2 linked regions of the Drosophila melanogaster genome follow. The protein of the gene in region 1 interacts with the protein of each later gene in a pairwise test. Each region holds a gene or a part of one and is shown in the gene's direction. Other genes may lie near its edges.

Evidence for each region. The genes of interacting proteins can lie anywhere in the genome.
Region 2: the proteins of geminin (region 1) and CG6333 interact in a two-hybrid assay, tested with the Drosophila melanogaster proteins (2 studies listed by BioGRID).

Annotation. Positions count from the first base shown.
Region 1 is NT_033778.4:6,654,843-6,658,475, reverse strand, and holds geminin (geminin), read left to right. Parts: upstream 1-1,881; 5' UTR 1,882-1,950; intron 1,951-2,021; 5' UTR 2,022-2,246; coding exon 2,247-2,825; 3' UTR 2,826-3,013; downstream 3,014-3,633. Other genes in the region: sced (scrambled), read right to left, coding at 1-964; Opbp (Optix-binding protein), read right to left, coding at 3,251-3,304, 3,366-3,633.
Region 2 is NT_037436.4:17,480,018-17,488,131, reverse strand, and holds CG6333 (uncharacterized protein), read left to right. Parts: upstream 1-1,901; 5' UTR 1,902-1,941; intron 1,942-5,829; 5' UTR 5,830-5,927; intron 5,928-6,008; 5' UTR 6,009-7,266; coding exon 7,267-7,887; 3' UTR 7,888-8,003; downstream 8,004-8,114. Other genes in the region: qjt (quijote), read right to left, coding at 8,069-8,114.

The DNA of each region.
Region 1 (3,633 bases):
CGAAGTATTCTCCAAAGGTGTCCAGCAGATTGAGTTTGGACAAGTCCGGACTTGAGAAGCTATTACGCTGAGACTTGTTCAACTGGGATGTGCGCTTTACCGGAAGCACAGGCTCCGGCGTGGGGGCATTCTCATACAGTGGCAGGACCTCATCGCTGGGTTCATTGGCCACCTCGCTGGTGCTGCCGGAACGCTTTTGACGTGAACTCCCGAACAGGTTGTCCAGCATGTTCTTGTATTTCTTCTTCTTGGCCAGCTCCGATTCGGGATTGGTGCTGGACCGCGCAATCTCGCCAAGCTGGGCGCACTCAAAAGTGTTTATTCGCTGACGGTAAGGATGTGCGGGCAGCGGTGGCGGTGAAGGAGTCTCCATGACTGACGGCTTCATCTCTTCGTAAATGCCGGATGCGATTGAGACGCGGGAGATGCGGCTGCCGTCAAAAATCTCCTCGTATATTTGCGAGACTCGCGGAGAGAGAGCGCTAGCGTCGAGGGTTTCCGGCAGGTTAGGCAGTGGGCCCAGACCTCCGGGACCCCTGCTCAGCCGGCGCTGTTCTAGAAAGACCTGGCGATAAAGTTCCAGATTCTTAATCGACTTCCGCATCCATTTCATGTGACGTCGGCAGGATGTCTCCGTTTCCAGGGCGAAATAGATGAAGCAGTCCCGCCGATTTTGCGTCCAAAACAGCCCGTACGAGTGCTGCTTCGTGCGCGAGGTAGCCAGGCTCAAGCTGACGCCCGGAACGTTTACGGAGACGCTAATGGGTTTAGCGGGGTGACACTCTTGGGAGTGAGACTCGGTCTCCATGGCCTGGAAACTGAGCCGCAGGAAGCAGGGCACACACTTAATGGCCTCTATTTTCACTTGGCAGCGGGTCCATGTCTTGTAACGCAGCGCCACTGGTCGCTTATCGTGTGTATCCAGCTTGGCGTCCATAGTCATGGAGATTTCGTTGTGGTCCATCTTGGGGCTACTGCTACGTGGTGGGGCGGATGGAGGTGCGGTGAATGAGTTGCGAGTGAAAAATAAAAAAGTAAACGATCTATATCCGCTACTTCGAGAATTACATCTTTTTTGCGACTGGGTGGAGCTCTTATCGGCTATTCTCTTATCGCACGTTTATCCTTCGTGTCCTCGTGACGTGACTGGCGTTGCCACCTGGCGGAATATCACAGAAATCGCGTTTCTAGAAGACCAACAAATGAATTTATAACTTCAATATACATCAATCAAACTTAAGGTGCTCAGCCTAAGCTACACAGCTCTTTTAAGTTCTTTATTTATACTTTTAAATGCTAAATGCTTACATGTTATTTGGACATCTTGAGTACTAGCTTAATAAGAAGGTAGTATCCAAGCAATTCTTATTTATAATCTCTTAACTAATTTACACAATCTTTTAAATTATTTTCAAGATCCATAACCAGGTCTAAAACCAAACAAATAAAAACTAAAATCCTATTTATACTTCGCTTTATAGCTATTTTAATATTTATTATTAAAAAACGCTAATGATGTTTTCAAAAATGTTAGGCATTTCCTTTTAGTATTTAAAATTCTACATCCGACATTGGGGTATATTTGACTTCTACTTGGCTGAGTATGAATTATGATTTGCAAAAGAAGTAAAAATTTAACTTTAAAATTAGGTATCTGTCTAACTGTTTTTGTCGTTTAAAACACAGGGTAGGTATGGTTTTCTTTCAATTTAAAAACATCGCTAGAAAACTGTTTCCAAAAAGTAAGCTGCATTTTTTGTTTTTAGTTTTGCTTTATACAGAAATTTTAATACTATACTTTTTTGATAAGCATCCACCAGCAAGAATACAGCAAGCTTTTATTTAATATTTTATTAACATAATTATTTAATATGAATGATTGGTAATATTTTGAAGTACTCTACTACATAGCAGTCGTAGGATTTGTTATTTTTCACATTATTTTTGTAGGTTTGTAATTATATTTTAAGGGATATCTTAATTTTACATTCCTAAAATAATTTGGTAACTTTTTGCGATAGTCGTGACACGAAATCGAGGGATGAAATTGCATGTGATGCAGCCCCTTGAGCAAACAGTGTTGGACAACAGCGCGCGGCATCGGCATTTTTTGGCGGCCATTACAACGAATGGAAAACTGTGAAGCGTTGCGCACAAATTAATGCATAAACAACAGACAAGCAAGTAGCACACGCTCTGCCGCCTGACAACCAAACCCACCGAAAGCACAATACACATCTCCGAAGATGTCTTCGAGCGCTGCCAGGGTCTACATCCAAGTCGAGACAGAGGCCGAGCAGAAGGAGCACCTGAAGCAGCAGAGACAGACCCTGAAACCCTTGCAGGGCAACGTAAACGATAAGGAGAACCTCACTGGTTCAGGGCGCGCCTCCATCGTGGATCAGCTGAGTCGTCTGAAGGCCGGCGTCCAAGTCGCGCCCAAGTACGGCAAGCGCAAATGCGTGGACACGGCGCCCGCGATTTCCACAAAGGATGCGGATACCCAGACTGATGCTGAGGCCGTTCCGCTTGGCAATGCTGACAAGCCCATCACGGCAGAGGATCTCACTAGCACAGCCGAACCCGGCGAGAACTACTACAAGCTGCTGGCCGAGCAGCGGCGACTGGCGCTGGAGGACTCGCTCACCGAAAACCGCCATCTGCACGAGCGCATCGAGGGGCTTGAGGAGGAGATGGACACTATGCGCCAGGAACTGGACGAGGCCAAGAATTTGGTGGAGGTCCTGAAGGAGATCTGCGAAGAGGACAACAGCGAGGTGGAGGAGGACGACACTACGGGTGACGAGGACAAGGTCAACGCCTAGGCTACACACCAATCACACGTTTTTTTTAGTCTAAGGTTTTACATTTAGTTGTAGTTAAATATCGCGTTTATATCCCTGTTCGTCGTCAGCCAACACAACGGCTGGTCTAATTGTACGCCAGCAATATATTTACTTGTTACACGCCAGTTATAATCCTAATAAAGTTTTACATTTGCACAATTGCACACAATATTTAATTCGTATTCCTGTATTTTATGTGCAACTTATATAAACCATTTCGCATCCATATGCTAGTTTAGATATGCTCTTTTCCTTTCATTAATTCTACATCAAAACAAATGTGTTTATTAGCTTACATCAATGCGGATGGATTTCAATGTGTGGGGAGCTAACGCAAAAATAAAATACTCAAGGTACAACATATTTTTGAGACAAATATTTATTGGATGTAAAACTGTGAACTGCTACTTAAGCCAATCTGTAATAACTTCCTCGCTGTGGAAGTTATCCACGTCAAACTGCAATAAAGGAAGAGAAAAAGGTAAGTTTGGGAAGAGATACAAAGAACTAGTAACTCACCACAACGCACTCTTCGTAGGTGGGTACGGTGCCCACGATGTCTACATCGTTTACCACAGCGTTTATGTAAGCGGCATCTGCCTCGGCTGCCGCTATCAACACCGCAGTCTCGGAATCATCGGTCTCAGCGACGTGTGCAGCATCAGTTGAGGTGGCGGGATTCTCCTGCTCCTCCACCAAACCGTGAGCCGACTTCATGTGCAGGCGCAGGGCGAAGAGACGTGCGTACTCAGCTCCACAAGTATTACAATAGAACTTCCCAGCTGCC
Region 2 (8,114 bases), on another chromosome or scaffold:
CGCACTCAGCCAATTGAAAATTGTATTTGCGGTTGGGTTTCAATACAACAAATTTATCAAGCACTCACTGAAAATGGAATTGGCACTTTAATTTTTTGTTAAAATGGTCTGAGGATCTTAACAATGATGTATTTATTGATTAAGTGTGGTTTTAATGAACTTCAAAAACGAGATTATTTAATATGTTATTAGTTTTATTCGTTTTCGTACAAGTTTCTTTAGGTTTTTGATCAGACAAATTTGTCAACCAGTTTTTTTTTTTTTAATATTTTTATAGTGTGCGAAAATATTTGTATTGAGCGTTTAGAAATTTAATAATTTTTTTCTGTGACTTGCACGACGAAAATGTGTGGATTCAACTGGGTTCTTGGACACAGGTATCTTTCAGGGAATATTGGAGGTATTGGGAACCGAAAACGAAACCGATTCGGAGCGGAGCGGAACCGAAAAGTCGAGCGACGCGTGCACTTACAGCGACGTCTGAGCAGCAAAAACTCGAGAATAACCAAAGTGCGGCTCAATTTATACGAGGAGTCGAAAAACACAGACCAGAAGATACATTTACAGATGCAGATACAGATACGCGTTCTCTTTGTGTTAGTGTATCTCAAAGATACTTCTAACCGTCACTCTCTTACGCTCTCTCTTCGCTGTGGGGGTGGTCTGTCTCCGCTGTTATCGTTATTGCCGCTCTCTCTGCGCGCTCTGTGTGTTTTGGTTATAAAAGTGTAGTAGATTTTTGGCATTTATCTGTTTTTGTTTTATTTGCATATGTTCAATATGCACGACCCACATTGTTGTTGGTGTTGTTGTTGTTGTCTGATCGCGGCGTATAGAAATAATACGTATACACATGTGTATATATACACCGAATGTACATATTATCTCTCTCGCCCCCCACTCGCACTCACACACACACACTCTCACGCACCGCACACATACAGTTGCACCGCCTGAGTTCCGCTGCCCGTCGGCACAGTCCGCACACGGTAACAATTCGAATACGAATACGCAAAACGGTCTGGCGAACTGAAAACAGCCAAAACTTTTCGCCTGCGCCGACGTCGACGTCGGCAGCGCAGCTGTTTGGAGCTGTTGGGGCTCTGTTAGGCCCCCACGCTGTTAGGGCTCTGTTAGTTCGGCTGCTCTCTCTGTTTGTTATCAGTGGCGTGCGCTCTTTTATCAAATTGGAAAGGGGATTTTGGAGATCAGACAGATCGACCTGGGTTAAACTTTCAGCATACCGGAATATTAGAATACATTACGTTTATAAGGGAATAATTGAAGTGGTTTTGATAGAAGTACCAATTCTTTCATAGAAAGACCTTTATTTTGATTGAAATTCGACAAGTTTGACTTTCTCTTAGCTTGGCTTAGTGTTTTTTAACTTACGAATCACATGTAGTACACAATATTTATTGTTGCATATGTACAATAAAATACATTTTCTGCAAATGACTCAACCAAGATTTTTCGTCTGGGTGGGGTGGGTAATATAAAAAAGTGAAGAGAAGTGATGGATATTCTAAGTCTATGATTCGATTGATTAATTTCTTATTATGAGCTATACATTATTTTCACTAAGGCATGAGGAACAGCTTAAAGCCTGAAAGTTTTGCATTTCAAAGAAAAGTGTTTATGATGAGGAATTTTGGTGGTTTAATGTTCGTTACATTAATGCTCGTTACATTTTAGTTAGTTCCAGCGAAGTACTAAAAAGGAATACTTTTTGCAAAACGTGCTAAATAGTTTCTATAAGTTGCTTTGTGTGTTTACCAAGTGATTTTTGCGATTAAGGGTTATCTCTTAGGTTATGCATCTGCTGTCTGTCGGTGCAACTGACTTTACAATATAGTCTACAGTCTTGGAGGCTAATGGAATTCAGTTTGCGAAATTCCTCGAGTAACTCTCTGGTCGCCTATTAATATTCATATGTGCAAAGTACGTATCAATTGCATATTCGGCGCAAGGTCGTCTGCCAAGCGGCCAGATAGATAGGCAAACTGTCAGATACGCGTACTCATGCAAAGTCTGTGCGCAATAATCAAGCAAATTGAGTGCAACGCAGGCGATGGCGCAGCCGTATCTATTGGCTACTCTTTTGGCAAACTCCCATCGATATCGGCTCGATTCGCAGCTAGACGGCTAATTACGTGACATGTTAGACGCGAAAACAAGTTAAACACGCTCGTTCGATTTGTGTAATTAATTGCAGGCCGAGACGAGCGAGAGCTCAAAAACAAATTCACCTCGAAATGTGCATTGAACTTTTGCGGTTGCTTTTCTCGCCGCCGCCGGATGAATGTTGTTTTCCCTTTTCGGTGGCTCGCTTTTTTTGTAACCAATTCTAGTTGCAATCCGCTGCTGATAACCCGCAGATGAACCCATGGGTGTTGGAGCTTCCACATTGAAGGGGGTTACGCATTCTGAGTGGGCTTGTTGGTGGGTGGGATGGGGCACGAGCAGCTGATGCAGCTGATGTGTGTGTGTCAATGTTTCAGCTTGTAAACAAACGGCAAGCAAATAATGACAAAGTCGACAACGAAACTCCAAAAGTGTTCCTTATTGTTTGTTGTATTGACTACATCGCTGGGCTTATCGCTAACCGTTGTCAGATGGAATAAACATTCACATTTATATGTGTTGCACACAATGTGGTGTGGTATGTATGTGCAGTGGGGCTTCCTTATGACGAACTTGTATATTACATATATTCCTATAAATATTAGGTATTTTTATTGCTAATAAAATAAAAAGTAGAAAAAGCAAAAGCTTGCCATACAATTACTTTTACTAATTCTTATTTCTTTAAGCGATTTCCCTAATTGTTGTTAATTTTTAATGAGCTTGATATTTTACTACTGAAAGGGGAATTGGATGGGGAAATGTTCTTATTTAATCTTGACTGAAAGCAGGAAGCACGCTTATGAATTGGATGAGTTTGAAGCGAATAGAACGGATCAAAAGTCGGAGCTGGCCTATAATGTGTGTCAGTGGTGATAAGCAAATGCGGGGGGTGGGAAAACTATTGTATAAGATCTGAACGGAGTCACTCGATTCTACTCCTCGATCGAATACAGTTTGCATTCGTTATAAGGGTACTTGCCTCTGCCACTCCGAGTCGCCCCATTCCCCGAGTGTGCCTGCCATGACTAATTAAGTAACCAAAAAAGTATGAAAAGAAGGCAAAAAGCTGCTCAAATTCTCAGCATTAAAACGTGCCGACAACTTTGTAAAGGCTGCCAAAAATGCACATTTTTATTTATATTCGCACACAAGTTGTTGGGACATGCTTTTTTGGAGTTGGAATCGATGCGAAGGGTAACTTAGCTGACACGTGAGATTTGAATTTAGCATTTGGGATAAGTGGAAAATGAGAATTATCTTGAAAGTATCTTTATTCGGATACTATTTTAATATGCATTTGATTTTTGTCAGACTAACCATAAAGATTAATCTTTAAATATGAATTAATTAGTAGGTAATAGTAACTAACAGAATAAGTACAACAAGATTTCTTAAGCTATAAGAAATGTAAATATTTAAAGATAATACGTATGTTTAAAAGAGTTAGAAATAAATTCGAAATGAATGTGAATAGATGCTTTTTATAGTCTAGCCAATAATTTGTTAATTATTTCTTAAATAGTGAATTTGCAATTGAAAGTTCCAACCATCATATTAGAGTACCAGTGGGTGTGTTTTAAGGGGCTGAAAGTCGAATTCCTGCCACATGGAGTTTCGATTCCTGGACTCTTCTGCCCGTGTGAATCATGAGCATTAAGCATAAAACCGACATTTAGCTGATTGATCTTAATAAGAATTTTTGCGGCGGGGCGGGGCATTCGGGCGGAGGATGGCTAACGGATCCGTTGGGACGGGTCAATAACATTGTGCGGATGCCTCCTTCTGATTCTCCCCCATATGCATCCCCATATGGATCCACCGATGTTGAGTCCCTGAATTTGAGGGCGTTGCTGGGCTGCGCCTGCGCAACATAACAAACTTTGTGTTTGTTTCCCCCACTCGATGGCGTTTCTTTAATAACTCAGAGTCGAAGTCAGAAATTTTTGGAAGCGAGTAGGAGCTGGGGGGTTCCCTTGTCGGAAATCTGAGTTTGCTTTGCTGAGTTATGTTGCATAGGGTTCTTTCATCCGACTTGGTGCGCGTTTGTATCTCCCAGTATCTTGCGATATAGATATATCTGCGATTTGCACCCAGAACGGATGTCTGTGCTCGATTGTTAAATTGAAATTTGTCGCCAAAAACCAGCAGAATTTGCAAAGCAAATTTCCGACCGAAGTGTCTGGCCTGTTGCATATTTCATATGTTTTGATTCTTGTCTAAAGCTACAGCTTTTTGGCGATTCCTCTGCAGATTTATGCGCAAGTGCTTAATCGAGGCAAGGATACAATAGAGGGTGGAAAAACTGTGCCAAAAACAGCAGTTTTCATTTGAAATCTTCGATAAAATGCAAGACTTCAAGAATTTCAGATTCTACGGTTTTTATTTTTATTATATACTATCAAATGAGGGTATTTTCAAGTAATTATTTCTGATTTATGCGGGTAACCATATTTTTTCTAAGAATATTTAGTGCAAACAAACAAAAAGCCCATAAATCAATTCACTTTTATTTGACTTTTCGAGTGCATTTGATTGTTGCTCTCGGGGTGAGCAAATTGCGCAATATCTACGTCGATTTTTGGCCGTCTAGCAGGCAAATTAAATCAAGCTGCACAGCCGAACACGAAATATATAACCTGATTTCGATGTCTGCAATTCAAATTAAATGCAATTAAACCGAAATTGATAGAAACAAAATCGAACGAATCCAGCAAGCTCTGCGTCTGCTTCTCCATTTTTTTTCCACGATGGCACTTGACAGCTCCTCCTTCTTTTCTGTTCTGATTGCCTTTCCTTCGTCCTTTAGACATCTCAAATTTCGTCTAGCCGAAGTCTACGCTTCTAAGGGGCTTATAAAAAAAAGTATATATAAAAAAGAACGAGACAGAAAAAGGCCCTGGACTTCTGGTTTGGGTTTGGGGTTCGCCTGTCTGCTCCCTGTCTGCTGCGTGGTTCCTTTGTGCTTGGCTTAGATGCTAGTCGGGTTTGGACCTTTTTTTTATGTTGTTTGGGTTAGTCTGCCGAAATTCTGGGTCTTTGTTTTGATTTCGCATTTTGATATCATCTTTCGGCATGTGCAAAGGGGTCGGAGGGGTGTGAGGGAATGTCGCTCTCAAAGCCGAATTTTGTATATATTATATGCGGGATTTATAGAGCTGGCAGTTAGTAGCGAGTCTGGTTGATGCAAGCCAAATTAAATAAATAATTAAATTATACATTTACAAGTATGGAGTTTCCTTGCCTATTCATAATTATTATTTATATTTAATACATTATTAATCTTTTACTGTTTTTATTATCCCTGCTGATTCACTACACAAGAATGCTGTGCTATTTTTGTAAAATAATATTATACATAGTTGTATAAAATTTATTTATATGTTTAAGGTTCCACATAATTTTTCGTACTACAAAAAACCCAATTAAGTTCTTGTTTTGTTTGGTATAGTAGACATACAATGGCTAAATTAAAATTAAAAATTAAAATTAATTAAAATCAACATTTTCAAAGGCCTTGTTATCTGAAGTACCACAATTACATTGTACCCTTTTATAGCCTTTTAACTATTGTCATTAACTATATCAGTGATAACAATTTTATGTATTTGTATTAATCTCTCATTTCAACTACTATCTATCGTTACTAACAGTTTTCTGCCAAAACGATTTTAACTTTTAATTTGATTTGACTTTAATTATTAGGCAAAGTATCATTGGAATCTCTTGGATGAACATCATTATGGTATTTAAAGCTCTTGATTTATCAGATTTCATTTCTTTGTATTAGAAACGTAATCAATGTGAGTTATTTTTATCATTTTTATTTATTAAAAATTTTAAAATTATTATTATTAAAATATATGTATATATTTGATCCGCAGATGTTTTCGCTCATCTCTGGCGAAAAATTACTCTTCCTCAATCTTTTGGCTGCCGAAAAAGTAGCCAGACGAATGTCCACATGTGCCGGGTATGTTGTATATAGTATCTGATGTCTGGACTTTTATTGTATGGCTGACCTTGAATTTATGGAAATTGCATAAGTGGGAAGAAGTTTGTCATATTAAGAAATATACTGGAAGCATAGAAAGCCGAAGGCAGTGATGGTGACATAAACGACCAGACCTTGGCATTGTGTTGAAGGACTGTGAATCGAATTATTCGAGGAAGTTGCTTGAATTATGGCTCAAGGGGGTACTTTGAATTTATGAGTATTCAGGATATTAAGAATGTCTTTTTTTTCGCCGGCCAGCACCATCCATCCATCTTCCACACCCCGAAAACCAAACGAAATCCGCTTCCTGCTGCCAAATAATTTACAACTTGCGAATGCGATGCACAGGCTATGGGAAGAAAACAAATAATGATCAGTCGCACATAATGCATGCATATATCCATGGGCATATCGATAACCCTTATCAAGTGTGCGGCATCGCGGCCAAAAATATACAAATTATGCTTACCAAAAGGCAGAGAAAACATAAATCAATGGTTTTGGAATACTCTAACCAAGACAGCAATGTATGAAACTTCAAACATTTTTCCTTATTTCCAAATTTACTTAAGAGATATTAAGATAAGTATACAAGAAGTGCAAATTTGTTGTACCTACTTAAATATTCATATGCATACATGTATGTACATACATATATGGTTATTTGCGTGTGGTTGGTCGCCTCAAGTGATGGGCGTGGCACTTTCAACTCTGGTTCAACCCATACAATCATGAAAACTCTGACCAGATCTTGCCAAAAATGAGCCCACCTTGAACCTGAGTTTATCAAATTGCAGTCATTTTGCTTGTGGTTTTTATAGTACTTTCAAATAACTGAGATTAGTTGGTCAGTATCGTTACAAAAAAAAGGGTAAAAGTGATCGACTTTTTCACTTTCCGCCAATTTGAGGATATTTGCAGAGATTTGAGTGTTGCATGATTCATAATCGAACATTTATATCATAAAAAAGTAAACAGTTCAGTTGCTTATTTATTACGCAGAATTGCCTTAAGAGTTCAATTAACCATTAAATATTTTTAGAGGTGAAACAACGTTTGCCCTCACTTAATCGACAAAATTTGAACTAATTCGAATAAAATTAAGAGTCAGAACGAATTCACGAGTGGCTAAATTATTGTTTAAAATGACCAAGGGCGTGAGGATTTGCAACGATGGATTGCCTGGTTTGCCGAATGAAAGGCCATATTCCCGAAGAACTTTAGATACGCGGCAAAAGACTCAGAAGATGTCCTCCAGGCCATCTAGGAAACCATTGCAGTCTCTACAAACTGTCGGTCGGAATACGAGTTCCAGCCTGAAGCGCATAGGAAGTCCGATCTCCGAGGAAGAATTTGGTGTCCTGGTGCAGCAGGATTGTAAGGCAGAGCAGCATCACACCGATCGCCAAAACCTGGCGGACATAATCCTTATGCAGGCCCGTCGCATCGAGAAGCAGCAGCGGGAGATGAAAAGAATAAAGGCGCACTATGAGCGCCAGGTGTCCACCATCAAGAACAATGCCATCATGCTGGAGTCGCATCTGCAAAAGGTGCTGGCCAGTGTCGAAAGGGATCGGGCCAAGCGGATTGGCCACCACTGCCAGGACATGCTCGGTGCCGTGGAGAAGCTGCAAAGGAGCGACATCCAAGTGAAGCCGCAATCTTCGGCCAACCAATTGCTGATCCAGTATCTTCACTCCAAGAAAATTTCGCATTCGACCAAGAAGTCCAATGAAAACACAAGTAGGTACAGGAATATGTTGTGAATCGTATTCTTGTGTGTACATTGTGGTTTCACTGGGTTTTGTGGTCAGCTTAAATTAGCATATATGTGTATTAATAGAAGTACAAGTTATTATAAAATAAAATAATGGCAACAATGAATTTATTTTATTTTACTAAGTTAATTCTCAACAAGGACGGAGTTGGGCACAATCATTATCTGTTCTATTCCTCGTCCTCCTCCGAGGCAGTTACATCCACGATCGCGTTA